Caenorhabditis elegans: one gene and its partners. The gene in region 1 interacts genetically with each later gene. Each region holds a gene or a part of one and is shown on either strand. Other genes may lie near its edges.

What was found.
Region 2: of daf-5 (region 1) and daf-14, changing one suppresses a phenotype caused by changing the other (phenotypic suppression), as found in Caenorhabditis elegans (one study listed by BioGRID).
Region 3: of daf-5 (region 1) and daf-1, changing one suppresses a phenotype caused by changing the other (phenotypic suppression), as found in Caenorhabditis elegans (one study listed by BioGRID).

The regions. Positions count from the first base shown.
Region 1 is NC_003280.10:14,030,764-14,041,402, reverse strand, and holds daf-5 (Ski protein homolog), read left to right. Parts: upstream 1-3,681; 5' UTR 3,682-3,688; coding exon 3,689-3,933; intron 3,934-4,896; coding exon 4,897-5,012; intron 5,013-5,106; coding exon 5,107-5,290; intron 5,291-5,589; coding exon 5,590-6,808; intron 6,809-7,446; coding exon 7,447-7,566; 3' UTR 7,567-8,183; downstream 8,184-10,639. UniProt on the Caenorhabditis elegans protein: Probable component of transcriptional regulatory complex with SMAD protein daf-3. Required to regulate entry into a developmentally arrested larval state known as dauer, in response to harsh environmental conditions.
Region 2 is NC_003282.8:10,246,463-10,257,599, forward strand, and holds daf-14 (Smad-related protein daf-14), read left to right. Parts: upstream 1-4,164; 5' UTR 4,165-4,183; coding exon 4,184-4,266; intron 4,267-7,154; coding exon 7,155-7,213; intron 7,214-7,626; coding exon 7,627-7,768; intron 7,769-7,815; coding exon 7,816-7,966; intron 7,967-8,032; coding exon 8,033-8,545; intron 8,546-9,085; coding exon 9,086-9,133; 3' UTR 9,134-9,390; downstream 9,391-11,137. Other genes in the region: F01G10.10 (BPI2 domain-containing protein), read left to right, coding at 288-437, 483-592, 642-764, 813-931, 976-1,085, 1,134-1,196, 1,704-1,929, 1,974-2,206 and 4 more; F01G10.9 (aECM cysteine-cradle domain-containing protein), read right to left, coding at 9,581-9,655, 9,836-10,356, 10,815-10,942, 10,989-11,137. UniProt on the Caenorhabditis elegans protein: Probably an atypical receptor-regulated SMAD (R-SMAD) that is an intracellular signal transducer and transcriptional modulator activated by TGF-beta-like daf-7 signaling.
Region 3 is NC_003282.8:129,055-140,516, forward strand, and holds daf-1 (Cell surface receptor daf-1), read left to right. Parts: upstream 1-3,361; 5' UTR 3,362-3,396; coding exon 3,397-3,442; intron 3,443-4,821; coding exon 4,822-4,908; intron 4,909-5,240; coding exon 5,241-5,368; intron 5,369-6,100; coding exon 6,101-6,319; intron 6,320-6,371; coding exon 6,372-7,128; intron 7,129-7,310; coding exon 7,311-7,474; intron 7,475-7,601; coding exon 7,602-7,868; intron 7,869-7,913; coding exon 7,914-8,187; intron 8,188-8,499; coding exon 8,500-8,567; 3' UTR 8,568-9,027; downstream 9,028-11,462. Other genes in the region: col-99 (Cuticle collagen 99), read right to left, coding at 9,645-9,801, 10,182-10,204, 10,281-10,442, 10,497-10,541, 10,676-10,858, 10,900-11,016, 11,088-11,246, 11,325-11,396. UniProt on the Caenorhabditis elegans protein: Probably involved in a TGF-beta pathway. May be a receptor for TGF-beta-like ligand daf-7. Controls the decision of whether or not larvae enter a developmentally arrested state, known as dauer, in response to environmental conditions.

The DNA of each region.
Region 1 (10,639 bases):
GAACTTTTTTCAACATTTGGCAAAATTACATGGGCTTTGGCCTACTGTAGGCAACTTTCGACTACTTTGCTCCAAATTTTGCCAGATTGTGACTAGCTTTCTCTAACTTCCGCCAGCTTTCGACTAACTTGTTCCAAATTTTTCCAGATTTTGACTAACTTTTTCATAACTTCCGACAACTTTCGGCTACTTTGCTCCACATTTTGTCAGATTTTGACTAGCTTTCTCTAACTTCCGCCAGCTTTCGACTAACTTTTTTCAAGTCTTGCCAGATTTTGACTAGCTTTCTCTAACTTCCGCCAGCTTTTGACTAACTTGTTCCAAATTTTGTCAAATTTTGACTAGCTTTCTCTAACTTCCGCCAGCTTTCGACTAACTTGTTCCAAAACTTCCGACAACTTTCGCAAACTTTCGACAAATTTGTCTGACTTTCGCTAACTTATCATCAAAAGCTTTGCCACTTTTGTCAACTTTCAACCAACTTTTGTCAAACTTTGTTCAGTTTTCGCAAACTTTCGTCCACACTCGATCGACTACCTTGTAGCTCTTAACAACATGGTGCATCGACACACCCCAAAATGTTCAGACTCTCACGTCTTCAAAATCCGATTTCCGGCGGAACTCCGCCTATCCATATACTCTCACTTGTTACTTTGACCCTTTCGTCGCCAGAGGCGGAGCCAGCGAGCGCTTGAACTCGTGAGCTCGGCAAGAAAAAAAAAACGACATCTAGCACAAAAAACCACGTAACGAGAAATAGACGAGCAGACAAAGCGAGAGAGTGCACAACGATGCCGTCTAGCCCACCTCATCATGAAGAGGAGCCCGAGCAGAGATGCACAGAGATAGAGAGAGTGAGAGAGAGAGATAGAAGAGGCGAGACAGCCCATCAACTGCGTCTAGACGTCTTTCCACATTTTTCAACGATCCACGCGCGCGGGCGCCCGGCGCCCTCTTCTGCAGAAACATTCTTTGCTAGCACAGCAACATGGAAAACGAGAGAGAGACTCTGAAGAAGTGCGGCGAGGAAGAAAAGTTCGGTCACATGTCCTCTCCCCGTCTTTTTTTTTTTTTTGCGCTTCGCCGTTTGGTCGCAGTCGTTAGTAGTGTCTGTTTGTGTGGAAGACGACGCGACGGGAGGGGTCTCTGGCGCCAGACTTTTCACTCTTTTTCTCTTTTCCTCGCTGATGTATTTGAAAATATCGGTGCGGAATGTTGTTTATGTATGTTTCTTGTTCTTTATTTATGGACCCCCATCATTTTTGCACTTTTGGTTTTTGAACATTTCCATGGTTACCGTGTGTGTGTGTACTTTGCTCTTAGAATCCAAGCTCCATATTTTTGGATAATTACTATGTTTAAGTGTCATATTTGTTTCCTGATAAAAAATGTGTCACACTGGTCTTTAATCTTTAAGCCCTCGTTTACCTATCGTATCGCCTCTAGAATGAGTCGCTATCAAAAAGTTTTCCACTAACGAATTGTGGGCAACTAACAAAATGTAGAACTATAGTTCTACATTTTGTTAGTTGATAACTTTTTGCTAAGTGATTCTGTGATCTATAACTTTGAGCTCTTGTATCTCCTTCAACATAATCGCTATCAAAAAGTTACCAACTTGCAAATTGTTGCTCTTAATCTGTTTTACGTTATGCCAGTTGACAACCTTTTTGGTATTTCTTGATTCAAAGTAGCTAGCTTTGATCTCCAATATCTCCTCTAGAATATGTGTTATCAAAAAGTTGTCAACTCACAAATTGTAGCCCTTAATTAGTTCTACATTTTGCTAGTTGTAACTTTTTTGATATCTCTTAATCCTACCTAGCTACAACTGTTTCAAGTCACATCTTTCTCTGATTATTTTTTTTCCTGTATTTCCACAGACTACACTGATAACGTCTATAACGCTAATCCCTCAGTCACATCTTGTTTTTGCAGTTTTTTTTTCTTGTTATTTTCAAGCAAAATAATAATTTCAAAAACCATTAGGTGTTCAAAATTCATGTTTATGTAGGAAAAATACATCTGCATTTTGGCTTCGAAAATTCTCACGCGTTCCTCACGTATAACGCATAAGCTTCCAGTTGTTTGGCTTGATTTCTCATGAATTGTGCACAATTTTTTTTGAGTTGAACGGCTTTGGGCAGTAATATCTATAGATAATTATATGCCATTGTGTTTTTTGTGTTCTTTCAAATTTTCGCTGACGTTTGTCATGTGGCGCTGAATTTCCAAAGTTTATTTCTCGTGTCACAACTTTGAGCTAATGTATCTCTGTGGGTATGAAAGTTATCAAAAAGTTGTTTACTAACAAAATATTCAACAAAAAAGTTTGTACAATTTTTTAGTTGATCACTTTTTGTATCATCAATTCCTGCAGAGATAGGCTGCTCCAATCTTTGCACACCTGAAACTACTATGTTTCAATTTTGAGCCATCATATCTCGGTTGCTTTGTGAGCTATCAAAAAGTTGTTAACTAACAAAATATTCAGCAAATTTTTTTCTACCTTTTGCCAGTTGATTAAATTTGTGTTCCACCTATTCCTGTAGAGATAGACTGCTCCAATCTTTTTGCACTTTTTTTGAATTCTATGCTGTCTCATCTTTGAGCCACCATATCTCAATTGCTATAAATGCTATAAAAAAGTTGTCAACTAAAAAAATGTTCAGCAAATTTTTTTCTACATTTTGCCAATTTAAAACATTTTTGTATCTACGCCACCGACACAGCTATAAGCTTTTTCGCAACAACAACAACTTATTGCTCTTTGCTCCACCACCACCCCATCTTCTATCTATCTTTTCGCATATACAAACACATTTCCAACAAGACCATACGAATCAAAAGATCGTACGTAGTTCCTCCTCCCCCCTCCCACCTACTACCGCCAGCACTGTCTCACTCTTCATCTGTCCCTCTTCTTTCTCGCCCACTTGGCTTTGCGATAGGAACCCAATGTTGCAATGTCCGTCCGATTTCTTCGGGGGTCTAGACTACATACATTTGTGGTGCTACATTTTTTTACTGATTTTCTTAGAAGTTCATATTTCAATTTTCTAATTTCTGGGCTACTACCGGAAATATCTCTAGACGTCCTAGCCTCCAAATCACAATGTTTTTTCGTAACTTTCAAAAGTGTAAGATCATATGTAAATCTTGACCTATAAGACTATATCCACCTTCATCAATTCCGTCACACTTTTCGTGTTCTTCTTTGTTATTGTAGTTAATCCTAATCCTCCAAGATCTCTGATAATCTTTTTTTTTTTCCTATTTTTCATTTCGAAACTCAAAATGTTCGGGCTCTCAAGTCTGGCATAGTAAATTTTACTATATTGTGTCAATAGCGTCTGTTTGTGCTCTCGCAGCTAGTCGATGGTCAAGAGTTCAACACGAAATGGGCGGATAGCGGCGGGCACACGAGAAGCAGCAAAAAGACACGCCTTCTGGGGCGGAGCAGAGTTTCTGTCTCGCCGTCTAATTCCTCATTTAACACCTTTCACAGATTTTTGCGCCAGGCCAGCTCATCTATCCTCACACATCACATGTGATTTGTGTTCTGTGTGTCAATATGCCACATCATTGTTATTCTGATAAATATATATTTCGTCTGTACATATTTTGCATTTTCGCTGCTTCCTCCCACCCACCCTTACCTAATTCATTTCCTTATTACAGATCCTATATGTCCGACTCGCCGATCGGCTCCTCGCAGCAGGTGGAGCCGGAGCACCGAACCCCAGACCTCATGGACATTGATCCATTGATTGCGAACTTGAAGGCGTTGCATGAGGAGACGAGATCAGACGACGATGATGATGGGCAACCGTCGACGTCGGCGAAGCGGAAGGATTCTCGAGCCGATGGGATTGTGATCCATCAGAAGAAGTATAGCGATCCGGGGAGATTCTTGTGGATTTGGTTGTTGGGGTGAGCAGACTTTTACTGCTGAAAAATGGGCTTAGGCTTAGACTTAGGCTTAAGTTTGGGCCTAGGCTTCGGCTTAAGCTTAGGCTTCACTTCAGGCTTAACCTTATCCTTTAATTTAGGTTTAGTCCTATGCTAAGATTCCTACGGAATTTCAACTTTTTTTCTTTTTTGCTGACAAATAGACTTTTAGGATTAAGCTTAGGCTTAGGATTAAGCTTAGGCTTAGGCTCTGGCTTTGTCTCAAGCTTAGGCTTAGGCTTAGATTTCTGCGGAGTTTCAATCTCCTCGCTTTTTCAAAATCGCGAAACCTAGAACCAAATGTCGAGAGTCTCAAAAACCCCCTAATGAGTCACATTTAATTTCACCTGCTCGACATATATCCTCAAAAAACATTAAGCAACACAAAAAAAAGAGAGGGACTCCAAAAATCACATCTCTCCCCTTCCTCATTCTATCCCATTGCTTTTTTCTCCGCGCACTTCTTCCTTCTTACTAGTGTCTAGCCAAGGGGTCCCAAATCATTATGCATTCACATTTGAGGCGCGCGCGCCCCTCACAATGTCACATGAGGGTGAGGAGTAGCTGCAGCAGAAAAAGAAGAAAAAGAAGAAGGAGCCTGCAACATTTTGTCGGAGCTCAAAAGAGCACATCCTGTACGTACACATATTTCGCCCCGCCGCCACTTCAACCTGAGCAAAGGTCAGCGTAAAGCTTTGGGGGTGCAGCGAGAAGTCTGGGACAACAAGCCTAGTAGCGTAGTTTTATTTTCAAAAAACAATCACAAGACCAAGAAGTCAATGGCGTCATCGTCTAAAAAACAGCAAAAATATTTCCACAAAAACATGGTGCACTTCCATGTTTTCGATAGGGCAGCGTGTTCACTCTATTTTATTTTGTTATCCAGGCGACTAGTTTGACTAGTTCCGTCTAGACCTCGGAAAAAAAAATTCAAAATTCTTGCAGAGTCCGTGTCCCAGCGTTGTCCATCGATGGGGAGCCACACCTGCCGATTGAGATTCTCGATGATATGCTCACAAAGAAGGACAAGAAGGATCAGATGTCGTTTCAGAATTTGCTTCGTAAGTTTTTTTTTCTTTTAGCATGATCTCTCTCGGGAACACCAGGCACCCTCGACCCTTTTAACAGGACTTTGCTGAAAAGGTAATTTTCCAGGCTACAAAAACGTCTACATCCGAATGGCGTCGCCATCCCAGTTCCGAGCAGTCATGGAGAAGAGCAAGGAGTGCGAAAACCTCAACATCACATCGCTGAGCCTGATGAGCCGGTCGGACATTGAACGGATCATGGGCGAGCTCCGCCTGGAGAGCATGCTCACGTTGGCCGAGCACGACAACTGGTAAGTGTGGCGAGCCTAAGTTCCACTAGCATAAACACTCCTGTGAGGCCGGGGCAGCTCTCTAATTAGAAGCAAGCTCCGGACGCCGCGCTTCCTACGCATCTCTCACTCTAAATAGAGAGCCCGACAAGAAAACAATTTCTCGGCCAAAGCTCATTTTTCAAAAGAGAGAAGAGACATCATCTTTCGAGTCTCTTTGAATATCTGAATAGTTTTCGGGGTCAAAAGGCCAAAAACTCAACTAAAAAAAAGACAAAAAAAACCAGCTAGACCAACAAAACAACCAAAGCCATTTCCAGGGACATCTCCGATCGAGTTCACGTTGTGCACGTCAACTTCATCGACTACTGCAGCGAATGGTTGGAGAGCGATGACTTGGAGGAGGATGTGATGCAGAGTGGAACACACGGCTATTGGTACAAGAATCGGCGGAACATGCGATGCATCGAATGCCAGCATTGTGAGGGAAAGTTCACACCGACCGACTTCATCATGCACCATCACTATCCGATCAAGCCGAGCGGTTTTGTGCACACCGGCTGTAACAGCTTCCAGTGGATTCGGCTTATTGAAGTATTCGATAAATCCAATGAGAACCTGGAAGCCTGGAATAAATTTGTCCTGAACTCGCACAGAGCTGGCAAGCGTGAATACGATGAAGCTGCGCCGCATCAGGCGCCGCCGAAGAGACCCGCTATGGAGACACCTGTGCCGGTGGCCGCGGACAACGGCTGGGAAGCTGATGAAGAAGAGGAAGGCGAGGAGATTGTGGATAGAGATGCAGATATTGAGAAGTGCAAGTTGAGGAACAAGAAGAAGATGGAGAATCTCCATATTGCCGACTTCCTCGGACCATCTGGATCCAAAGGCCTAAAGCCTAGAAACAAATTTGAGGCAGTCATCATCGAGCAGCTTAACAAAATGGACGATGCAGCTCTCGAGGCTTTATTCCTGAAATCGCCTGAAGAATACAATTTGTGGGTGAAGGAGTCCGATTTCACACATAAAGTCGTCACGCAGCAGCAAGAATGGAAGGCAAAGATGAAGGATCCGAACTTTAAGAGTCGAGCGTCAGCGAACTTCGACGTTTCCAAAGGAGAGTTCGACAACATGCGCCACTTCGACAATGCCTCCAAAGCCACGCGACAAGAAATCCAGCAGCTCGCCGAGCAATTCGCCAATCTCGATCGCGACGCCAAACTTTTGACTCCAATGGAGTTCGTGTTAAGAGAGCACGCGTTGCTCAAGAATGTCTCGGCAGACGCGATACGTGTACTGTGTAACCGTCCGCCACTGCCGCCACTGCCGCCACCGCCACCGCCACCAAAACCAAAGCCGGCTCCGGTACAGCCGATCTCGTTGGGAAATATCAACTTTGTGGCGTTAGCCCAGCAGCTGATCGCGTCTGGGATCAAGCTTCCTCTGCCGATTGTGACACCGCCAGTGGTTTCTACGCCGGCGCCAGTGATTACGCCGATTCCTGCAGCGTTGCCGATCTCGCCGAATTCTGATTTTTTGGTAAGTATACATGGGGAGTTGAATTTTTTAGAGCTCCCGTTTAAGCACTCGTAGATCTAGAGTTGAAGAGACACAGACATTCCTCCGTAAATCGACACAAATCGGCTCTTCTTGCTCCCGCGCCCTGGGTCCCGGGACGTCTGTGTCTCTTCACACTCGCTGGACCTGTGCTGCAAACACCAACACTTTGATTTTACTCCAAAATACAGAAAAGCTGATATCTCGGCTCGTTTTAAAGATCTTAGAAAATGAGAGCTACATCACGTGGTGACATGCTGTCCCATTACGGTTTGATCTACAAAAAATGCGGGAATTTTTCGCCAAAAAAAATGTGACGTCAGCACGTTCTTAACCATGCGAATTCAGTTGGGAACTCTGCGTCTCAACTCCCGCATTTTTTGTAGATCTACGTAGATCAAACCAATATGGGACACTCTGACAGTGTATTTTTTCCAACTTTCACGACTTTAAAGAAGGGCGCATTTATTCAAAATGGTCTCGCCACGCGCTCCAAAAATCGATGGATGGCGCGTAGCGAGACCTTTAAAGTCGTAAAAGTGTAGAAAAAATACACTGCTACTAGTTTGTGATTTGCGCTTATTAATTTCTATTTTGAAATTAAATATAACTAATTCCAGAAACAACAACTCTCCACGGCCATGTCATCTCCAGCTCTTCTCTCCCTCTACCCGAAGCTCACCGCCGGTGCCTATGAGCAATTGGCCCAGTTTATCAAAACCACCACCGTCAAGAATTGATTAGATGATCTTTCTTATTCCATTATGTATTCCTTTCTCCTTCAAGCCAAACCTATCATTCCTTCATGTACAAAACACTTGTGAGAATTGTTGCACCCCACCCCGGTTATGTACATATATTGAAAATGACGCTAGTCGTATTGTTTTTAAATTCATTTTACCTCTCTGTCTGTCTCTTTCTCTCTTTCTGTCCCACATCTCTCTCGCCACTTGCCATACTATTAGGTACCTCTTTTCCCCATTTTTTTCATATTCCTATCTGTTGTTAACACCGTCCTCTCCACAACAAAATACGCACTTTAAAAAATCAATGTATCTCTACCAAATGCTGCTACTCGAAAACTTGTACCTATTTCTAATAATCTTTTCGGTTCGAAATTCCTCTTTTTAATAATCACTTCTTTTTTTCTGTTAATATATATATATATATATGCTGCCCGGTTCAATATGTATTTTGTCATTCTTGAGTAGCCAAAATCCCCCCAACTCCCCCCTTCGATTCAGGACAGTCTCCATCCCAAAGCAACAGTTACGGTATCACTGCGTTTTTTATTTTCGTCGTTTTTTCTATCTATTTGTGCAAATTGAATTTGACATTCAGTAATGAACGTATTATTTCTATTTTTTGGCACATTTTGCCGATTTGCCGGAAGTTTTTAGTTCCGGCAATTTGCCGGTTTGTCGATTTGCCGGAAATTTTCAATTCCGTCAATTTGCCGGTTTCACAATTTGCCGGAAGTTTTCAACTTTTTTTTCAAACGTTTGCAGTGCTCAGGTTAAGTTTTCAATTTCGGCAATTTGCCGGTTTGCCGACTTGTCGGAAATTTTCAATTCCGGCAGTTTGCCGGAATTTTCCGGTTTGCCGACTTGCCGAAAATTTTCAATTCCGGCAGTTTGCCAGTTTCCTAATTTGCCGGAGGTTCTCAATTCCGGAAACTTGCCGGTTTGCCGATTTGCCGGAATTTTTCAATTCCGGAAATTTGCCCGTTTGTCGATTTGCCGGAAAAAATCGTTTACCGCCCACCCCTGGTGTGTCTGCTTAAACATTAAAATAACTCATTTTTGTGTCATTTTACTAAATTATTGGGGAAAAAATCAAGTTTTGGTCAAAATTTTTCAAAAACTTTTCGCCACAAGTTAAACTTCGGACAAAGTATTTATTACCCTTAGTAGTATTCTTACTAGATTCTTCTTACTCCGACTCCCTCTCCCAATCATACGGTGCATTGATGTCAACACCGGCGGTAGTACAAGCATCTGCGAGCAGCTTGTAGATGAACTGGTAGTCCACACGATCTTGATAGACTCTCGAGTCGATGTAGTCGAGGATCTTGTTGAGTTCACTACTCTGCTTGATTCCAGCAAAGAGTTTATCACGCTTTGTTGTCCGGCATGCTTGCTTCATTTTCAGAATCTCATTCCAGTCCTGGAGATCACGCCATGGAACATCTTTTGGAAGGATGAGGCCGAGCAGCGTGTAGAGCCAACTTTCACAGTCATCCTTGGGGCTCAGTTCAGTTTTTAGGTGGCTTGCAATCGATGCGAAACGAGAAATTCCCTAGAAACAATTTCACTAATAGAGTTAGATACTACGCTCACCTTGAACCCCACATTTCCTCTTCTTGCGGACTTCTGCTCATTGTTGGAGTTGACATACTTCCGCGCGAATATAAAGTTGAGAAGATAAATGTTATGCCGTTTGTCACCAAGTCCACATGCATAGTGACCAGTTCTCAGGTCACGATGAACGAATCCCTTCTTATGCAACTCTTCAATTGCCTGCTAACACTGGCGTGCTGCTCCGAGCCCAGTAGCAGATGAGAATACTTTATCAGCTCGTTCTTTTTTCAAATCAGCCAATGACTTTCCAACTTGTTGCAAAACCAAAAAACAGAAATGATCTCTGTCTTTTCTCCTGCGATCCACAATTTTCTGGAAGTGTTCACCGCCATCCACCGATTTCAAAACAGAAATCTCCATTCTCAGCTTTTCATTGCGTCTTATTTCTGTTTGTTCGATTTTCATTGTGAACGATTGCTTTTTTGCGATATCATTTACCAAGTACTCTCCAACAATAGTACCGTCAAAGAGTTGACTAAGTATCACGTATTTGGCTTCACGGCTTCTGATTATGGTTCCCTGAAAGACCACTTTATTGAGAACACAAAAATATGAGGCTACTAGCTAGGCGTGCAGGTAGGCAAAACGGCAAAGTAGCCAGAAGGCCTAGGTGGATGCATTGGTAAGTAAGTAGGTAGGCATATGTAGGGAGACGGGGAGGCTAAACACGCAGGCAGGCAGGCAATTTCAAGCAAGACGATAAGCTGGCACAAAGGAAGGATTACTTGTAAGACATTTTGAAGCTAAAGTGCCAACTTTCCAATAAAACTCACAGGCTTAAATTTGTCCTCTTCTTCCGATTCTGATTTAGTCATCTTTTTGGTTTTCAGAATAAATTGGCGAGTTAAAACTAAATAATGTTAAATATTTTTAATTTAAAATTTCATTTTTACATAGTTCTACATAAGTTCACGGCGTACATCAATTCATTTTAAAAAGCGTAAGCAAATCTAGGCAGAAATGTAGGCGTAGACAGGTACGGGAAGGCAAACATGGAGGTAGGACCAGTAGGCAGGCAGGCTAACAGCCACTTTTGTACCTACACAATAACTTCACTTTTTTAAAAATTACTGGTTTCAAAATTTTTCTTCAAAAATATTCCCCTCATTGATAACAGATAAAATGCCCTTGATAAAAACGTCTCAGAGAAAGCGAAATTAGGCTCCGCCTCTTTCTTACATCGTAAGTGGACAGGTTTCTGAGAGGAATTTTTTAGTTGGTGAGAATATGGATCAGATTTTGCAACTTTTTTATTCTTCAGTTTTTGACCGAAAAGTTACCAGCTTTCACTTAAACTTTTTTAAGACTTGAAAATTACGGATTTCCCATGTACATGGTGTTCTAGATAAGGCAAAATGTTCTAGATAAGGAAAAATTTTTAGCAAAAGGTGGATAAATTTTCGGTTGAGATATTAATTTTTTCTAACTACTCAAAAATATAGAGTTTTCGAAA
Region 2 (11,137 bases), on another chromosome or scaffold:
GTATACGATATTTGCGAAATGCGAAGAGTGCCCTTTGAAGATTACTGTACTTTTAAAAAAATTATCGCAAGATCTCGTTATTGATAGTTTTTGAAATTTGGCAGCAAAGTAACAAATTTTAATGAAACAAAAAACTGCATTTGACACCATAGAAACAATGTTGCATATATCAATTTAATATGACATCTCAGTGACTTCAGTGAAACACTTGTTTTACCGTAGTCCAAATGAAATTAAAAATCTAATCTTTCATAAAATCTTCATCAACATATTCATTTTTTTTATAGAAAAACACCTCAGCTGTCAACCCGGGTATCTACCTTCGAATCATGCCAAACGGGTTAGCTTACTTGAGAGAAGTTGGAATGAAAGTGATCAATGAGCAGATTCTTAAATTACAACTGCCAAATATTAGAGAACCGATTGAAAATGGAGAGGTTAGATTTATCGATAATCTTACAATAAAACATGTTATATAATAGGTTTCAATTTACAATCTTCAAATGAGCAAGTACTGGGCTCCACAGGAATATGCATTGGATATGTCTGAACCAAGTACATTTGCGTGGAGCATGAGCAAGATGCATTTGAGGTGATAAATAATATTATACTAGTTCTAGATATTCTACATTAATTTTCAGAGCTGCTGGAGACTTTCAAGCCACTTTGAATAGTCCTCTTCTGTTGCCTACCGTACCAATTACAGGGCATTTTGAAGCTCTTTTAGGTCACATTAGTTTGTATATTACTGTTAATATGGAACGGTAAGGGAGTTTTGATAAATTTTGATTTTTGAAACGAGAAAATTCTAGAAATGCAAATGGAGCTCCTCAAGTAAGATCTACTGGATGCAGAAGTGCAATTGGATATGTTGATTTGAATGTAAGAAACACTGGAGTTATCACTGATTTCTTTATCAACGCGTTTAAAGGTAAGTTGATCCCTGAAACATAAAATTTAAATCAAACATTTAAGCATTCTTGATTGGAAACTTCAAACCACAAGTTGAACAGAAGATGTGTAAAATGATTGAATCGATTATTGATCGAGATATGAATATTTTACTATCCAACATGCCCCTAAAAGTGAGTAAATTCAAATTTTCTTTCTGAAAACTTTTGAATATTTTAAAGATTCGAATCAATGAGAACAACTTGGACATCATCGGAGAAACATTTGGAGTTGCTCCAAGAAAGGTGAGGTATGTCTCATTAATATATTTTAAACGTTGATCAAGAGGCTCAAAGTCGTAAAAAACCACGACAATCGATAGCTCAAATGAAGCCTTATGATTGAATTACCAAACTGATGCTAGAAAATTTGCATGGGTGTAGGGAAATTAGAAACAAGAAAGTTTGAAAAAAGTTTGCCATCTGTTTGACAGCGATGTGGTAATCTTTTACAAGGCTTTCAATGAGTTGCCAGTTGATATTGTCACGTATTTTCAGATTGAATCCAATTATTTTGAAGGTGTACAAAAAAAATAATAAATTGTATTGTATTTGAAATATATACTCAAAATGTGCCATGAAACCTATAGTTATAACTAAAAAGTACTTTAAATTTTTTTTAGATCAGTCAACATTTTGAAAAATTGTCTAATTATCGGATAATTTAGTATGTTTGAGTTACAGTAGAAAATTTAGAGTCGAATGCTCAACTTTCAAACTGTTTTCTTTTGATTTTAACGACCTTTATTTCAGCATCATCGGGCTGGAAAGTTATCAAATCTGAATGCCAAGAATATCACCTTGACCCATTTCGTACAACGGCTTCGTGATAAGGAGTTAGTGTTGGATTATCAAATGTTGACAGCTCCATTTGTACAAAATGGTGCTGTAAATATGATGTCAAAGGGAGAAATCTCATATCGAGGTCAAGGTGGAACTCCCTTCTTTCCACCAAATGTTAGAATTCCACCTCCACATGGTATGAATTATTTCAACTGCCGTTCTAAAAGTAATTTATTTCAGGAGTTCATATGATTGAATTCTATGCAAGTGATTATCTGGCTAATTCAATGTTGTATCATTCATATCGTCAAAAGTTCCTTGACGTCACAGTTGGACCCGAAAGTTCTCCACAGCTTCAAGGACTTTTGCTTACAAGTTGTGGTCCTGCTGGTTTCTGTCTTGGAGAGTTCCTTGGTACACTTGGAGAACAATTCCCGGATAGACAAGTTGAAATTGAATTTTTCGCAAAGAAAGTAGGTTACCTAATATACGATCCTAATTATTTGACACACTTATTTTCAGGCTCCACTAATTGTGTTCATTGATGATAGGTCTCGGTTTAGACTCCATGGAGGTCTTAATATGTACGTAAGACCTTCGAAGCCAAATCAAGTTAAACAGCAGGTACTGATTTATTTGATTCTATGAAACAGAAATTCCTTTTATTTTCGTAAAGATCCTAAAAGCTGACACGACAATGACTGCAAACGTAAACTTGTGGATCAATGGATCAATTATTGTTGGAAACTCAACGATTGAAAATTTGGATTTTAAGGTGAGATGTTTCATCCAATCATCTATGAATCATTCTTACTGAAGCTATGTAATTTCAAGTCGTACGACGTACGCCAAATATTATATGTTTTTATGTGTTTTTACAAATGGTAATTTAATCGAAACGTAAATTATTAATAGGCCTTTAAAATCACCAGAAAGCTCAAAATTGTAAAATAAAGAGGTTACGTAAAATGTAAATAGGCCCAATCTATCCCAATCTTCCACACTAGTTTAAAACATTTTGGGTTAAAGATGGAAAAATTTGAACTTGGGTAAGACTTGAATGCGATTATATGATATTTCACCAAGAAAATTGTCACCAATTTATTTTTTTGGAAGCCGGCCTGGATGTTTCAGTTTTGAGGTGCTAATCAAATTGTCATATTTCAGCTCCTTGAAACAAAAATCAACGATGTCGACCAAGATTCATTTTCCGACTTGGGATTATTTGGTGCTGAATTTTTAGAGAAGCTTCTCACTGAAATTCTTCAAATGGGAATTGCTCTGCCAACCATGCAAGGTGTAATTCTGAAGAGTCCAAAGTGAGTTTGAAACGAGCTCTATAATATGAATTTATTATAATTTCAGATTAACTTTCCACGATCGTTATCTGAAAGTTTCAACATATTTCAAACTTGACGAGGAATACGCAGGAAGTCTTGTCAGAGGAGCTGTTGGAAAAACGTTACGTGGACCATTGTGATGAATGACAAAGTTACCAAAAAACAGAAATATCGATATTTAGTTACCGGTTTATATGTACATTTCGAGAAAAGAATACTGATGAATATATAATAAATAAGTTATTATCTGCGAAACTGTTTGAAGAAATAAGGACAGTTTTCATCTCCGTAATTTGCAAAACTGCAAATAAAATTAAATATTTGCAAGGGACCAAAAATTGTTTTTTCTGTCGAATGTATAATATGAGAGTTTCGATTGAACGTGTCAAGTCTTTCATAGAGATTCTATTCAACAATTCAAACAATACTTTCAATCGAACAGGTATCATTTCATTCGTGATCATTCATTTCAATATCTTCTTGATCGTCAAATAAACTTATCTTTTCAACGTTTAACTTTCGTTCACATTACCAATGTACTTTTCTCATTTTTCTTTTTCTGTGGTTTTTAATCATTTCTCTACTGGCCAAGCTCCACCATTAATCTCAATCTGACAGAATATTATTTTGCTGAATTACAGGGAATCTTCAAAACTGGATCCAAATTATTTGCAATCGAGGGTTGTCCAACTATCGAATAATTTGTTATGATCAAAATTCTAGTCGTTTTTAAAGGTACAATTGGGTCTATTACTGGCTTAACAACCTGATGTGCATCGTTTAGTAATGTCAATTCGTATTTATTTGTCTCATATTGAACCCTTCCTAGTCACGCCACTTCACATAAAACCATCACCATGGAGTCATTGCGTTTCTATGTTTTTCTGCTCATTTTCTACTCTTTCTATATACTTTTGGATGTGACTTGATCATCTAAAGTCTCGCTTTTCACACAATTGTTTTTGACTTTTTCATTCAAAGTGCAAAAATTGTGTAGTAGATGTTTGATTTGTTACCTGTTATTCAAACAATCCATAAATCGGCACCCTTCCGTTTATATTTTGGAGATTTGTTGTTTCGAACACACATTTTTTTGCAGAAACATTTATAATGTCCAACGAACAAGAAGATTTTGGATCACTTTTTAACAACCAAGGAGAGTTAGGAATCATGGACGATTTTGCCGAGTTTGGGTAAGTAAGTTTTTAAACGGGTGATGCTGATAACATTTATAATCGTACTTTTTACGATGTGTCAAGATGTCTTAACCGTGCAATAACAGTTGTCTCTGCGTCTCAATTCCCGCATTTATTGTAGATCATATGGGACATGGAACAGCCTGACACCACGTGATTTTTCCGATAATAGTCACATTCAATTATGTTTACTTCTGTTTTTTAATGAAAAATAATTTGTAATTTTTCCGTGTCAAATAGTTTCCTAACTCCCGGCTGTTAACAAACTATTATAAAAGTCGCTCAAAACTTTTTTCAATGCAATTTTAGTTATGTAAACTTATAACAAAAGTAAATTAAAGGTGACTGACTATTTTTAGTCCAATATATATACCAATGTTGACAGGGTTTTACAAACTGGAAGCTATTTTTGATGATTCAAGCTTTTTATTTCAAAAATCTGTCTGACTTTTCTGGACTGCTCTACTCTATTGAAACTTTAAACTCAATTTTACAAAAAACAAGTAATTGAACTGTTTTCTCGGCTTGAAAAAAAACCTAGAATGTTCCAATTATTAGGCAACACCACTAAGTTATATCAGTAACTTCAACAAAACGTTTCAAACCAAATAAGTTTTATATTTGTCCAGCACACTATCACTTCCCCCGTAGACAGTGAGATGGAAATATATTGTTAACCTGACTGACTCGTTCCGACTTTTATAAGACAAGATGCATATTTCTCTCTCCGCCCTGTCTACGCATTTCTGTGTCTTGATCTTTTGAACCAAAAAGTTTACAACGGATGTCCTGGGGCGGAAACAATAAATACCTCTCTTTCTCGTAGTTTGCAACGTACCCGCTCTTCTTGAGTTCACCGGAATCAAAACACAATTATTGTATTTGCCCCTGTCTTTTCCTCATTTACATTTTGAAGTTTCCCCAAAAGTTCAGTATCGTGGTTTGTTACTCAATTTGCAATTCCTAGCAATTTTTAAAAAATTATGAAAGAAGTCCCCAAATATTCCAAGAAATTCAGGAAAATTTGATGAAAAATAGGGAAAAAACCACAATGTTCTCTTTTTAAATTTTTCAAAAAAAATTTTTTGTAAATAATTCGAAGTTTAGACTCCAACAGGCACAATCAAACAAACATCTAAAGCCGAAAATTATGATAATTTGTTTATCTCTACGAGCCTTTTATGAATCTGATCTCTTAACCCAATAAACGAATAATATCTTCTTGATCTATCTGACCTTTTCGTGTTACTGTTCTCGTCTCTTTTCCTGCAATCGGCAAATATTTGAGCACAGCGCAACAGATGGACCACACTTTGTAGACAGAGCCACGTTGCAGTGTTCTAGAGTCACACTATTTTAGGGGTTTTCGGTATGGATTTTTTTATCGATTTTTTTAAATTTATTAATTTTTATTCAATGAAATTTCCAATGTTGAAAAACATTAATTTGTTGGAAAGATGAAAAAATTAAAATTTCAGAGGGTAACTAAAAATATTTCGAATTTTATTTCGTAACTACCCCTCCTCGAACTATTCTTCTTCCGAACGGTAATAACGAACCTTTTGTCATCTTTCCCTAACCTTCTTTTGTTCATTTCTCTTATTCATTCAAAGTAGTCGTCATTGAAAATACAATTCAGATGACGTTCTCAACCTCGTCTTTTTTTCCATTTCCTTCTATTTATCGATCACGTGCTATCGTTCCCTATTACGCGCTCACTCCAACTTTTTTCTTCCTGTTAGGAGCAGAAGCTCACGTGTTGCCGATGCTCTGAGTATATTCGTTCTCTATTTCTCTCCGTTCTCTCTCTCTCTCTCTCTCTCTCTTCTCTCTCTTTTTCTCTCTTTTTTCCCATTTCTTTCCTCCTTTCACTTACATTTGTTGTGACAGAAAACACACACATACATACCCTAACGCTCACTCTCGCTCCTCTCCTCTCTCGTTTTTCCTATCTAGTTCTCAAAATATTTCTCACGTCTCTTCTAGTTCCAATACTATTTTTTTAACCGTCGACTTTTATAAACTGATGTCAGAAACGAGCGCAATTCCAAAAAGAAAGAGTATGACTGACGTCAACAAAGGTGAAAGTTCTTGATCTGTTTCCAATACTCATATACATATATTTATTTCAATTTTCTTCAAAAACTCTATATTTGGTTCTATTCTGCCAGATCTAGTTTTTAAAAAGGAACCATAGTTCGTTCCCGAATATGAAAAAAAGTTAAGTAGCAACATTTAATTTACCGCATCATACATTATCTAACATTAGATATATAGTTGAATACACTTTTTTCAAGAACGAGACAGCACCTGTCTGGCAACTTCACGTACACTCTTATGAGAGATAACAATCTAAGGTCGTGAGACTTGCCCTATAACAAGTCTAGTCGACTTTTTAATTTCTTCTAATACACCTGTTATGACGACACGTTGCTAGACTCTGACAATAAGGAAACTAGACCTGAAGAAAAAGTGAACATATTTTTTAAATGATTTTGTGTTTTTCACTTAGAAAATCGAATGATTTCAGTACATTTATTTTTATATTTATTTATCAAATGAATATCCCAAAACTATCTTCCTTCTATAGCATGCTGATAGAGAGCAAAAAAATTTAACTGAACCGATTTCAAAACCTCTAATACGACGTCATTATTTCTTATCTATAGGTATTCTGGCATTATTATGCACTCAATTGACTTTTTCTCTATTTTCACGTCAGCTAATTTCACCAACAACCCTCATATTCGTAATCCTTAGATAATCCCTTCCTTATAGGATCTCATTATCTCATAATTATTTCATTTTGTATTAATATCAAAGCCAACCGACTTCCTTGTTGTTTTGTGTTTTTCTTAACTCGTTTTAAATATTCGACTTTTCAGTTTTCAAACTACAACAACACCCACAAATTGGGCGGCTGCGGGGAATTATATGTACCCAGGTGAGTCAAATTGTAGACATGACAAAGTTATTGGAAAACTAGACAGAAGTGGCTATAACTGCAAAAAATATATTTATAAAACAGACGTTTTCAGTTCCTGATCTCAGAATGCCTCAAATCACATAAAATATAAATATGCTTCAATTTTTTGTTAGAAAACAATTATAAACATGAAAAATATCTTTAAAAATATTTCGTATGATTTCGATGTTTTTCAGACGATTTATTTCCGGTTTGTCATATGATTTAATATGAATCAGAAAGTTCTAAAACGAAAATTATCCAGCTTAAGTCCCTCATCATCCATATGAGTCACCGTGATCACAATCACTTGGGAAACAAGTTTCTGACTAATTTAACATTTGGAATTGAGCTTTTATTTTATTGTTCAAACTGATATACAAAAATTACAGATCAAGTTCACTTACCGGCAAGCATCAATAATCCAAACATGCCAATAAACGACTGGTTGGAAGATGCTCCAATGCCTGATTGCTATAATGTTCCGTCAACATCAACTGATGAAAATAATGATCCGTTTCCATTTTCAAATATGTACGTTTATTTGAAAGTTATACACATTCACATACCTCTTTTTTTAGCTCAAGCCAATCTTCTTTGAAACCAAAAACTCCTGAAAAGGCAGTAGTTGAAGTACGTCCTACTGGAAACGAGATGTTGGATCCTGAACCCAAATATCCAAAAGAAGAAAAACCGTGGTGTACCATATTTTACTACGAGCTGACTGTTCGAGTAAGTTCAAAATTATTTGAGAAAGAATTTCAAAAAACGGATAGCATAACAATGATATATTTTCAGCTAGGAAAAGCATTCGAAGCCAAAGTCCCAACAATTACAATCGATGGTGCAACTGGAGCAAGTGATGAGTGCCGAATGTCGCTTACATCTCAACCATCTTCGAGAAATTCAAAAAGCTCACAAATCCGAAACACAGTTGGAGCAGGAATTCAATTGGCATATGAAAATGGAGAACTTTGGCTAACTGTACTGACTGACCAAATTGTTTTTGTACAATGCCCATTCCTGAACCAGACATTGAATAAGCCACTGAAATATGTGTTTCGGTTGCAAAACAAAGGAGATCAAAAAAGAATGAAAATATTCGATAAGGAGCAGTTTGAACAGGAGAAAACATTGGCTCTCGGACCTTTAACTGAAAAAGAGGTGGCTGATGAACGAATGAGAATCTTCTCCAACATCAGAGTCTCTTTCTGTAAAGGATTCGGAGAAACGTATTCCCGTTTGAAAGTTGTGAATTTACCGTGTTGGATTGAAATTATCTTGCATGAGCCAGCTGATGAGTATGATACAGTGAGTTTTTAAACTTTAATGTAATTTTTCCTAAATTAAAAATATAATATTAAAACACAATTTCCGATAGTGCGGTCCAACTGCAGCTGAAATACCCAAGATCTCTGAAAATGTTGTACACCACTGAGCCGACTACTGAATTTTACTGGCTAGCAATTTTTGTATAGGCTTAAAGTATCTCCATTGAAGATTAAAGAATCGATTTTTTAGCCACCTGGATTCTTTCGGTGAATCAAGGCTATATTTGTTTCCGAAATAAATAGATAAATTAAAAAACTTCATGAAAGACAAATAATTAATAATTATATTCACATTTGTCTTATCCGGTTCTATTTATAAAATAATTAAACAAAATATGACTATTTCAATCATTAAAACAAAAACACAAAAAATTCAACATATGATCTAGTAATGGAATTAACTGTTAAGTGTATGGCATAGTTGAGACCATTTTGAATTTGAATTTGAATTTAAATTTAAACACTTGAAATAACACACAAAATTGTTTCAAGTAATTAAAGTTCCATTAATAATCTTCAGGTTTTCCGTATTAATAACGAACGGCCGGAAATAGGATCCCGATCATGATTGCTTCAATATTTTCACTTCAATGATTGGTTCTAAGCATTCGAATGCGTACCCGTTTGATTAATATTTCCATTTCTGTCCCAGTTTTTAATTTTCATTTCTTTTGGTTAAAAAATTCCCAGTCTCTTGAATGCTTTTCTAAAATCTTTAATTCAATTATTTATTAGAATCTTCTGTTTTGAGAACTTTGTAATGTAATTAAATAATTTGATGAAATGATTATGAATGCGAATAAATTATTAAAATAATATTAATAATACATTTTTGGTGGAAAGGAGAGGAACCTGAAACAATAAATTAGAAATCTGACGACAAAAGTGTCAATTGTGGAAATAAATAAAATGAGATGATCCCGTATGGGTTGGAAATGTCTTTAAATGTAGGATGAGCACAAAACTAAAAGAGCAAAGAAAACAGAGAACATTTTGAGAAAAATTAAGTCATAGTTTAGAAGAATTTCTTGCTTTTACAAGAATCAATAAAATGGAATATGAGTTCACAGCTGGCGTTTGGAGCATACATCTGCAAATAAGGAAAATTAACATGATTGTGAAAAAGTGATTTGATTAAATGTGTCTCTGTTGTAACACCAACAACAGGAATTCACAAAAGAGCACCAAAAATACGTAACAGATAGGCACGTAGTCACTCCTAAATGCCTACCTGTAGTGGCAGCCTTGATTTCTATATTTTAAAATTTACCTGCAGGAAGGGACAGTTGCCTCTCGCCCATTTCGAGACATCTTTGATACTAAAACTCTTGGCCAGTTTTGTTATTTTTGCACAACTCTCTGCGGTAGCTTCCTGCATTTCTTGAGGATTCGATTGTAGAATTGGCTTCAACTTAAGAATATCATGACCCACTTGTTGTTGAACAGGTTGTATTGGTTGGGAAGGTGGTAAAGCCATTCCTGGTGGAGCCAATGGCATTGGCATCGGAGCACCCGGAGGAAGCGGGATTCTCATTGGTTGTGGGGCACCGGGCAATGGAACTGGACGATGAAGCATATTAGTTGTCGAAGAGACTGGAAGAGTCATTGGTCCAGGTACTCGGTATGGTTGATTATATGGAATTTGATGGCGAAGACGTTTCATTGATCTTAATGGAGAAAGATCTCGTGTTGTTTGATGACGATCAGAGTTTCCGATTTGTTGATCGAAACCAGCTTCATCCGAGAAGTCATCAGAAAAGAGTATCGGACGTCTGCGACGCATTCGGTATTCTGAATATTAAGATAACTTTGGAAAAGTGTAAACATACAACTTTTTTTTTGAAACTACTTTACCTAATTTCAAATTTGGAAAAAAAATCTTAGCAATCACTGGAATTTTCCTGAACTTCGGGGTATGACCAAACATGTTTCGTATGATATAAAATTTCAGTAACTACTTCATGCTTTTATTATTTTGAGAAAATGTTTGTTGGTTGAACTATATTCCTTCTTTGCAACATTTTCGCGGAGATAAATATTTTAATGATCACAGATAAAAGGATACATCGATCATCAAGGTTCGATTTCTTCATAAATCGTTGATTATTTGATCTTTAAGTAATCTTTCAGACCATATTGTAATGAAAAATAGTTTAAATTTAATTAAAAGTAATCATATTTCGATTTAAATTTATATTATTGCTTTCCGATAAGAATTTAGTATTAATTTGAATTCAAGTTAAACTAACCTCTTCTCATTGGTCTGTATAATGGAATATCGTCATAATCATCATAAGTAGACATATCATATGGCCTCTTCCGTGATCCTCTGTGATACATTGAATTTGGATAATCTTCTTCATTATCTTGATTTCCTCTGAAATATTTTAATAAAAAATTTAAATAGTTTCTTTTTTTTCTACATTTTATTCTGCTGATTGTTGTATCGTTCAATTGCTGAGTTTGACGAAGAGGATGATGACGTTGTATAGGACCGTTGTTTTGACACATTTGCAGAAGATGAAGGTGGAGATAGAGGTTTGCGTGATTCGATGACCTCGACCGGTACTTT
Region 3 (11,462 bases), on another chromosome or scaffold:
TCTCTCATAGCTGGTAATCTCTCGTCAGGTGTCCTCACCTAACTATTAATTATCGATTATCTTTTTATTCGAAATTTCAACAACAAAAAAATGCATCACAAGTTACTAGTTACTAGGTAACCTACTACTTATATTTTAGATTTTTTTCAAGTTTTTTTTTATTTTTTAGTTTGAAAAACGCTTTCTTTCAAAGTTTTCTCCCTTTGAAATTTGGTTTTTGGTCCGTGTCCGAGAAGAGAAAAAACTCGGCCACCAATTTTTTTTCGCGGCCACATATTTTTCTTACGGCTGTCCGAGGCTCTAAAAGTCAATTTTCAAATAGATATAGACTAAAAAAATCAAAACTAGAGAAAACTCGGCCACCGATTTTTTTTCAGGCCATGTGGAATTTTACACCACTCCCTTTTTTCTGAGAAATCAAGAAAACTCGGCCACCGATTTTTTGCAATTTTTTTCGGTCACCATTCCCAAATTCGCAAAATTTTCAAACGAAAATCGGCTATAAAAATCCTTTAAAAATAATTTTGGCCTAAAAAAAGAAGGTAGAGAAAACTCGGCCACTGACTTTATTTCGCGGCCACGTTTGGCGATGACATTTTTCAAAGAAATTTCACATATTTTTTTCCGAACTTCCACAATTTTGGTCACGTGGCCTCGAATGGGGAATCCTCGGCCACCGATTTTTTTTCGCTTTCAAGGTTTGATCCAAAAGAATCAAAAATAATTGGTGGCCGAGTTTTTGCTTTTGTCAAGAGGTCGTAAAATGGAAACCTGAGCCACCACTCTGTATTTTTTTTGTTTGAGAATTCCCTTCAGGTGCACTTCTACTTACATTAGTTTCAAAAAAAACCTGAAATAGAGAAAACTCGGCCACCGAATTTTTTGGTTGTCAAACTGTGGCCTAGTTCTGCTTTTGCCAAGAGGCCGTGAAATTGAAACTTAGGCCACCACACTTTAATTTTTTTTTCACAAAAACTGAGATAGAGAAAACTCGGCCACCGATTTTTTTTTCTCGGTCCCGTTTTTTGCCAAGCCCTCATTATTTTCAAAAAAAACACACACAAAATGGTGTATGGTTACTAAAAAAAAGAGGTCAGTGATCATTAATCAGATATCAGTTTTTGGTTTTTTTTGCCATGTTTTCTCACATTTTTCGGTTGGCAGATTTTCGTGTTTTTTTCTTTCTTTTTTTGATAAATTTATTCCTCGCTTCAAATGGCAAATGGGGTGACTTGAACTGTGTGTACGTGCATGTGAGAGGGCAGAGACGCAGACAGTGAGGGCCCCTCGGAGCAACAGATGGAGAATTATGTCAAGTTCAGTTGTTTACACATTTTTTTGCAGAACCACTCCCTCTGTGTTCTCCATCTCTTTTTTTTCATTGTGAAAAGTGTGTGCTTCTCAGTATGAAATGAACTTTGTTCGAAAAATTTTAAAATTGTTAAATGACAAGGCTTCCACAATTAAATTTGCAATTTTTTGATAGTTTTAGTACCCACGAGAATACCGTATTTCTTCTATTAGTATGGCCTCCCTATTAGACTTGCACTCCCTATTAGTATTGCCCCTCGGAGACCTTCCTTTTCTGAATTTTTACATAAGATTCGAGCTTTTTCAGAAAAAAAAAACTAGTAAGCTGAAAGTCAGAAAAATGTTCTGAAAATTAGTATTGCACTCCCTATTGGGCAAAAATAAAAAAAGTATTGCAAGCGGGAAGACTATCGAAAAATAGTATTGCAGCCATACTAATAGAAGAAATACGGTATAAGCAATTTAAGATTTTATGCTATCATTTACTATATATAAAGCGCTTATTCCGTTTGTCCATAGTTTGTAGTCTATGTAGTCTTTGTAGTCTGCGAAGTTTTAGCTTCTGGAGGGATATAAAAAATGGAGGGATATAAAAAAAAAATCAAAAATTTATTTATTTATCGATTTTATGAAAAGTTAGCAGGACCGCGTAGACCGGTACATATAGGCTAAGAAGCTATTTTTAGCAAAAATTGATAACTGTCTTGTGAAAAACATGTCTGTAAAGTTTCGTAACGAAAACTCAATCGGTTGCTCAGAAATGAGCCCAGAAGCCTTATGGAAACAAAAAATAAGGAAAAGCTTAGTACAAATTCATCTCTAAAACGGTTCAAAAAAGTCCGAATCGTATGAAAATGCACCAGAGAGTGACATTTTGTGTAATTTACCATATTTGAAAGTTTGGTAAAAATTGGAAACTCAGTAGCTTCAAAACGAGCTTAAAGGTACTAAAATGTGAAAATTAGAAGAGTTCATGCTTCCGCTTGTTTCCATGATATGAAATCAAAAAATACACTGGTAAAACAAGTGAATGAACGTTATTTAACTTTTTAAAATTTTGACACTTTTCGAAAAAATCGAAGTTTTCGTGAAAAATTTCCAAATTCTCGAGGTGTCCCATAGCAGTTGGGCGGTCGATTTTTTAACTTTTCGCTCGTTTGCTCTCAATTTTTCAGCAATCAGAATAAAATTGTAGGTACATAGGTTTTTTGGTATGCTGAATCCGATTCCGATACTAGTTTTCCATGAAAAAGTTCGAAAGTGTCTGAAACCCTAAAAATTAGGGGGTGTCCCATAGCAGTTGGGCGCACTGTATATGCATCCGTTTAAAGTTTATTTTCTACTAGCCAGCACAGTCCATAGAGTTCTAAATAGCGTTATCCCGTGCTGCGAGGCTGCCCCATTTCGTTTTGACCTACAAAAAATGCGGGATTTTTTTGCCTAAAAATATGACGTCAGCACTTTTGTAATCATGCAAAATCAGTTGTGAACTCTGCGTCTCTTCTCCCGCATTTTTTGTAGATCTACGTAGATCACGCCGAAATGAGACACTCTGAAGTAGTTTCTCCAAAAACCTCACTGAAAAATTTTGTGCAACGTTATCTGTATAGTTACAAATTTTCGATGTCTACTAAAAATATTGCAAATTGAATTATAAAGAGTTGGTCAGTTGAGAAAATGTTTTCCCATCCTACTCTCTATATCGAGTTATACATTGTCAATCTCATATCCTACCTAATTCCAAAATAACACTCAATTCAACAATAAAAGAAAGTCACGTGGCAACGCGAAAAAAAAAAGATAAACAAGGAACGTCTTCTTCTTCTCTATTCAATTCCATTCATAGTGGACTAGGTGAGCCGCTCGTCAGTATCTGCTCACCGTCTGCGTCTCTGCTTGGCTCTTCTCTTTCTCTCCATGTGCTCCGGCTCCCCCTCCTCACACTCAACCACACACACACACACACGTATACATATCTTCTTATAGTTTTGTTGCATGCTTCATCTCTTTTCTCATCTTTTGCCTTCTATGTACTTTGCTTTTTTTCCAGATCTCCTGATGAACTAAACTCTTGGGAAATAAATTATGAGGATACGGCACGTGGTGTTCTGCCTGCTCGCACTGGTTTATGGTGAGTACTTTGAGGTTTTGGTGTTTGATAGCAAAAGTCATCAATCTATTTTTCGGGTTAATTGGGTTAATATAGGTATTATTATGCAGCTAGATGATGATTTGGTTCTATCTAAACAAAAAAGTGCAATTAAAATCGAATTCTCACTGGTTTACATAAATTTTTAGTTATAATCACAAATTTAATAGTTTACGCTCTATTTTTTTTTTTGACAAACTAGATATAGTTAAACATATTTGAAATTTGATCCAATATCCAATATAAGTGAAATCAAGTTAAGGTTGTTAAGTTTGATATATGTAGTAGTAAATATATAGAAATGTTTTTCATATCAGGTTCAGCCAATCATATTCGAGTTGCGTAGTGCTTATGCAGTTGATAGGTTTTTTGGTATAATCTAGTTATGTTGTAACTCTAAAAAAATTTTCTAATTATCATCACGAATATGTATATCGTTTAAGAAGTTAGAAAAAAACACTGATTATTTTTTTATTAGCTCAAAAAGTATGTATTAGTCCCATTTAGCTGGCTTTTAGAAATTCGTGTTTAATTTTGATTAGTTTGACTATGGAAATTGTTTGAGCCCAAAGTTAAGCAATTTATGTTATTGCAGATTAGCTGCAGACTTTTTCTATTAGAATAGAATCTTATTACATAGTTATTATTGCCTAATTTCAGCTATACAAAATGCGACTTATCAACTTATCATTTTAGTTGTAGTTGATCGCAGTTGAAGAAAATTGAAATGTTATTATGATCTTAAAAAAATACATATCACTTTAATTATGAGTGACTTGAAATTGCTATTTTTTATTGCAATTCATAGTTGATATATGTTCAAAAAAGTCAACAAGTTAACTGATTTGCTGATAGTGAATATTAAATTTAGCGCAATGAGCAATTGATGCAATTAAATGTTAGTTGCAGTTTTATTCTGTTAGTGGGTATTTAGAAAATAGCTAGGTGCAATTTAAACTAAATTTTCAACAATTTAGGAATTTAAACTTTACTTTTTAGTCGCATCACTTATCTAGGCACCCCACTTTTTAACTTTAAAAGCGCCTAACAATAAGTATCTAAGTTGTCCTGTATTTTATTTTAAAATTGCCAATTTGTTAATTTTTTCTCTATATAATTAATTATCTATTGATATTTACAAAATGTGCCGAGTCCTGCCCTTCCAAAGGAAACTAGTGGGGTGCAATACCAATAGAAGAGTACAAAATTTACAGAAGTCCAAAATAATATGCATCACGGTTGAGAGCTTTTTAAATTTGTTATCAGTATTTAGGCCTTGGCTCAAACACATCATAAATTGGTACCTGTGCAAGAAAATTAACCAAATACAGCTTTCTACGACCCTTTTCAATTTTTTCCAGGCGCCGAAACTTCCGACGATGATCTCGACGAACGGACAAATATCTTCATCCGTGATAAACTGATTCCGGCGTTGAAGCTTGCAGAAGGTAGTTTGTTTTTTTGGACTCAACAGAAAATAATCGCCGGCACTCAAATTAGATGGCATTTATCGTCAGAAGAAGCTTTGGGCAAAATCCCCCGGTAGCAAAGCAAAATAATTTCGTTCGATCAAACATTAAAAGAGATTTTCAACTATATATATAATCAGTGATAAGCCTATAATCTTTAGTGTTTCCCCCGAAAGCACTAATCTATGGGAAATTTCCTTTTCGGGGGACGTGAGTTTATGCAGAAAAAAAAATTGAAGTTTAGTTTATTTTTGGAAGGATTTTTAATCTTGTGATAAGGGATTTAACAAGATTTTCTGATTTTCTTGCAGTGACCAAGGTGAATTTCACACGATTACACTTATGCCATTGCTCAAGGGAAGTTGGATGCAACGCGAGGACTACCGGATGGGTGCCTGGAATCGAGTTCCTTAATGAGACGGATCGCAGTTTTTATGAGGTTAGGCTTTAACCATGTGGTCGAGTTTTTCCTTGCCCGCAATAGATCCTTATTGACCAAAACTACAGTAATCCTACAGTACCTCAACCATCTTCCTCTATTAGACCTGTCACCAAAGTATTTGACAAAGCAAAAAAACAAGAATAATTTAATTACTCGATAACTCCAAAAAACAACAAAAAATTGTATTTTGGTTTTTTAAATTTCTTTATCTGATTGTGAATATTTTCGTTTTCCCCGCGATTTCTTTAAAAGATCAAAAGACTAAGACTAAGATAATCTTACAGTACCCCGACCCTATCCCTCCACTAACCTTAATCTCTTCAAAAAACAATGAGCATGTTTTCTCCTAAGCTACAGTAATCCTACAGTACCCCTACAGTACCCCAGTACTACTACAGTACCCCGACCCTATCCCTCTACTAATCTTAATCTCTTCAAAAAACAATGAACATGTTTTCTTCTAAGCTACAGTACTCCTACAGTACCCATACAGTACCCTTACAACACTACTACAGTACCCGACCCTATCCCTCTACTAACCTTAATCTCTTCAAAAAACAAAAAAAACATGTTTCTCCTATACTACAGTACTCTTACAGTACCCCAGAGGTGTCCTTATAAGTTTGACTAGTTTTTGTCATTTGGCAGTAAAACTACGGTTCTTCTAAAATTTCGGTTACTTGGTTACTAGGTCTCAATTCTCACACTAGACCAATCCTCTCTTTCCAGAACACGTGCTACACGGACGGAAGCTGCTACCAGAGCGCTCGGCCGTCACCCGAAATCTCACATTTCGGATGCATGGACGAGAAATCTGTGACCGACGAGACCGAGTTTCACGATACGGCAGCGAAAGTGTGCACGAACAACACGAAAGACCCGCACGCTACCGTCTGGATTTGCTGTGATAAGGGAAATTTTTGTGCGAACGAGACGATCATCCACTTGGTAAGTGTGATCTCTTTTTTGACATCCGGATTTTGAATTTTCAAATTTTCAGGCGCCAGGCCCGCAGCAGTCATCCACGTGGCTGATTCTTACTATCCTCGCCCTGCTCACGTTCATCGTGCTCCTGGGCATTGCAATTTTCCTCACCAGAAAATCATGGGAGGCGAAATTCGACTGGTATATAAGATTCAAGCCAAAACCTGGAGATCCTCTACGCGAGACGGAGAACAATGTACCGATGGTTACAATGGGCGACGGTGCTGGAAGTTCTGTGCCAGAAGTTGCTCCAATCGAGCAGCAGGGAAGCACAATGAGCACATCTGCAGGGAACTCGTTCCCTCCTGGAATCATGCCTAATAACATGAAGGATATGCTTGATGTACTCGAGGAGACAAGTGGATCTGGTATGGGTCCAACTACACTTCACAAACTCACGATTGGTGGACAGATCAGGTTAACTGGTAGAGTTGGATCCGGAAGATTTGGTAACGTGTCACGTGGAGACTACCGAGGTGAAGCGGTCGCTGTGAAGGTTTTCAATGCGCTCGACGAGCCGGCGTTCCACAAGGAGACGGAGATCTTTGAGACGCGGATGTTGAGGCATCCGAATGTGCTGAGATATATTGGAAGTGATCGGGTTGATACTGGATTTGTAACAGAACTTTGGCTGGTGACAGAGTATCATCCCAGCGGGTCCTTGCACGATTTTCTGCTCGAGAATACGGTTAACATTGAGACGTATTATAATTTGATGAGGTCGACGGCAAGTGGACTTGCGTTCCTGCACAATCAGATTGGAGGGAGCAAAGGTAAGTGCAATATACATGTGTCTCAGAAATCTAGGAGCCTAGACTAGGCCCCTGAGAAGAAAAATTTGGACCAACGGTGTCTGAAACTTTTCTATTCAGAGAGTAGTCTAGGACGCCAACTGAGTCCGCTGGCCAGACGTACTCTGTCGTTGAACATATATTAATCAAAATACAAATTCCAGAGTCCAACAAGCCAGCGATGGCTCACCGGGATATCAAGAGCAAGAACATCATGGTCAAGAACGATCTGACGTGTGCCATCGGAGATCTCGGTCTCTCGTTATCCAAGCCAGAAGACGCGGCATCAGATATTATTGCCAATGAGAACTACAAGTGCGGTACTGTTGTGAGTTTTGGGATCTAGGCCATTTTAGTCAGAGAGCTCAAGGCTCGAGACCCTGCCAAGACGGAGGTTTTGGCGTAAAGTCTAGCTATAATCTTTTTTCAAAATTTTCACAAATTAAATTTTTTAGAGATACCTTGCACCGGAAATCCTGAACAGTACGATGCAGTTCACCGTCTTCGAGAGCTACCAATGTGCCGATGTCTACTCATTTTCTCTAGTCATGTGGGAAACCCTATGCAGATGTGAAGATGGAGATGTTCTGCCGAGAGAAGCGGCCACAGTGATCCCATATATTGAGTGGACCGATCGGGATCCACAAGACGCTCAGATGTTTGATGTGGTTTGCACGCGGAGGCTCAGACCTACAGAGAATCCTCTGTGGAAGGATCATCCGGTAAGATAATAAACTTTATGTAAAGTACTTCTAACTACTTTTCAGGAAATGAAACACATTATGGAGATTATCAAAACGTGCTGGAATGGCAATCCGAGCGCCCGTTTCACCTCCTATATTTGCCGCAAACGAATGGATGAACGGCAGCAACTGTTGCTGGACAAGAAGGCAAAAGCTGTGGCCCAGACGGCAGGGGTGACAGTTCAGGATCGGAAGATTTTGGGTCCCCAGAAACCGAAAGACGAGTCACCGGCAAATGGTGCTCCGCGGATAGTTCAGAAGGAGATTGATCGAGAAGATGAGCAGGAAAATTGGCGGGGTAAGAATTTTGATCAGGCTCCTATTGTGGACCGAGCTACTAAGCCCGGACCAAAAAAAAACCAACATTTTGGGTATCATGTCTATCTGGTGCCTTAAATACCCTACGAATTTAGAAACTTTTCTCAAAAGCTTCCAACTAAACAAATTATCTTTAACCTTGAAGGTCAGATCTACCTACTACCTAATACTATAGTAGCGGACACTTAATAAGTCCAGGTCCCTAACCTAGCATAGTTTATATGCCCGCCACCGTAGAATTTTGCGCCTTTAAAGTGAAGAACACTTTTCAACATAAATTAATTTTTTTCAGAAACTGCAAAAACTCCCAATGGACACATTTCCAGTAATGACGACTCGTCACGCCCACTTCTTGGTTAGAGCCCATTTTATCTTCGTTCTTAGGCGCCAATATATCAAAATTATTATAATTATTATGTTCTATATACTACACTTATCACCTCTCGTGACTTCCTCCCACCCCCATATCGATGATCTCATTTCTCTTCCTCAACCACTAACTGTCTGCTACCTATTTCTTGTTTATTAGCGGGTGCATTATGCAGCTAATTGTCCGGCGCCCCATCATTCTAAAAGAGACTCCTCACCGTGTACCTCAGAAAAACATAAAAATCTTGTGATAGGTATGTACTGCATAAGCTTTATTACCCTCCCCCGAAACTTTGTAGTTTGTAGTTTACCCTGTTTTTTTTCTGTACCATGATTTCAAGTGTTTTTGAAATTTTATTTTGTTTTTATTGTTATTATTATTACTATTTTCAAAAAAGGAGAAAACACATTTCAATGCAAAAACTGAAAATGAAAATAAAAAATTTGATTTTAAGACATGATAATTATACAAATATCAAAGACGGGCGGAACAAGGGATTGGTGGGAAATTTGAATCTTTCATAAAAACTCAAATTAGTGGGCTTTAAATTGGGTGGAGCTTTAGAAATTGCCACAAAAGGGGCGGAGCTCTACGCTCCGCCCACAAAATGGATGGACTGCAATTTCGCCTCAAATTTTACGAAAATTCAAAAAAAAAATTTTAAGCGCCGCGCACAATATGGTTTTAATTTTTGAAAAAAAATGAAAATTGTATATTTTTGACCTATCCTTACCCGCCGTCTCTAATAATTAGTTTTTGTAGAAATACGGAAAAAGTGCACCAGGATTGTGAGCTTGGTTACGGAGAATTTTCTTCAAAAATAAGAAAATTCCTAGAAATAACGAGATTGTGACGCTGAAAAATGGAAAGAAAATGTGGGGGATGGGGGCGGAGTCACACGTGGAATTTGAAAAAATTTGTGGGGGCGGGGCGAGAGATAAACTACAAGAATAATGCAAAAAAAGTGAAGAGAGATCAGATTCATAAGAAAAAGTGTAAAAAATGTGGGACCCCTTTATTAGTAGCGCACGGCGAGGGGTACTGTACCTCCTAACAAATTTCCAATTTCAGGGCGCACCACTAATAGAGGGTAAAGAATCAGTGCCTAAAGTGGGAGCCGAGGCTTCTTCAGTCAGTGACTGGCGGCCTCGTTTCCGCACCTTTCCCGGGCTGAGCTCCTGGTAGTGAAGCCCGTTTTCGGCGCTCCCAGACGTCGTTCTTGCCCTGAAAATTGGAGGATTTGGAGTGGGAGGGGTATGGTAGGTACGGTTGGTACGGTAGGTATAATAGACAGAACTGTATTACAACTGTTTGACCTATAGAAAACGCGGAAATTTTGGTTTGAAGTCATATTCCAGAAATAAAATTCCTGCGATTTCTGTTGGTCAAAAGCCCAAAGGACCTCTGTAGTACTGTACAGTCATATTACTCGATGTACAGTACAAAGTTTCACTCTCCAGAAAAATAAACCCAGTTATAAACGTTTCTATCAAGCCAGTGAACACTCTGACTTTTATCAAACGTTTCTTTTTTCCAATGAAATATTATATATAGTTCAAAAAAAAATCTGCACTTCAATTTAAGAATTTTGCCTCCAAACTTACCCGTAATTTATTCGAACATTGCTCTGAAATATTTCGGGAATTTCAAAAAATTTTCTGACTCCAAAACTCAGAAAACCGGTAACTTTACTCTCAACTTACATCCATAGGTTTCCAAGAACAATAAGGCAGAGGTAACCCATCTGGCCCAGTAGGACATGGTGCATCGAGTCCAGGTATTCCCTGATCTCCCTTCTCTCCAGCTGGACCAGGCCTTCCGTCGATTCCTGGCTCCCCATCGTTGCCGGGCGGACCTTGTGGACCCTGAAATTGGTATTTTATTAGGGTTTTTTACGAAATTTTTTGAAAGAGTCGCACCATAGGCCCCGGATATCCTTTCGATCCTTCGGGCCCTTGTTTTCCCTGTAACTCATTGCGGTTAGGCTTTCATGAATCACCAAACACCACACTACACAAAGAAAATTGAAAAGGACCAGGATGCCACTACACCGAGTTTGAATTAAAATGAAAAGAAAAAAGAAAAAAACCAAACCTACCGTTTCTCCCTCTGTGCCGTGAGGGCCTCGAAGACCCATCGGGCCTGGTGGACCTGGGAGACCCAGGGATCCAGGCTGGCCTGGAAGCCCTGGAGGTCCAAGATCACCCTTTTCTCCAGGCGGTCCTGGAAGGCCAGGTGGACCCCGTGGGCCTGACTGACTGCCGCTGATCTCTCCGGCGCCCTGGAATAGGTTCAGGTTTACTGTATGGGTAGTGAACTTACAGGTTGCCCTGGCAATCCGGGCGGTCCGATGTCTCCTCGATCTCCGCGCTCTCCGGAATGTCCTGGAAGACCCTGAGGTCCACGTTCTCCTGACGGCCCTACTGGTCCGTGATGTCCCTGTAATTTTGCGGTTGAAAACGATTATTCTGGTAAGTTACATAAGTGTCAAGCTTCTAAAAAACACCTACCCTAGGTCCCGGTGGTCCTGGTGGTCCTGGAATCACATTCTTGCCACGTAGCTCGGAGATGTCCTCAATAAGCAGCGGCATAAGCTCGGTCTTCAGCAGCTTCTTCAAATCCTCATTGATAGTCCCGTTCGGTGCGACGAGTGAGATTCCGTGTCGACCCTGTTTGGATAGATAGAAAAGTGGATAGGAAAGAATGCTAATTAAAAGTCATGCAAAATCATGTTAGTGCACACTCACTCTCCGTCCGCGTTTGCCGGGCGTTCCTTCTGGTCCGGGGAGTCCCATGTCCCCGCGTAAGCCTTGCTCGCCCTGAATAACTAGAAGGATTAGCGAAAAAGCACACACAACACGTCACACTAGGTAAGTCTAACAGGC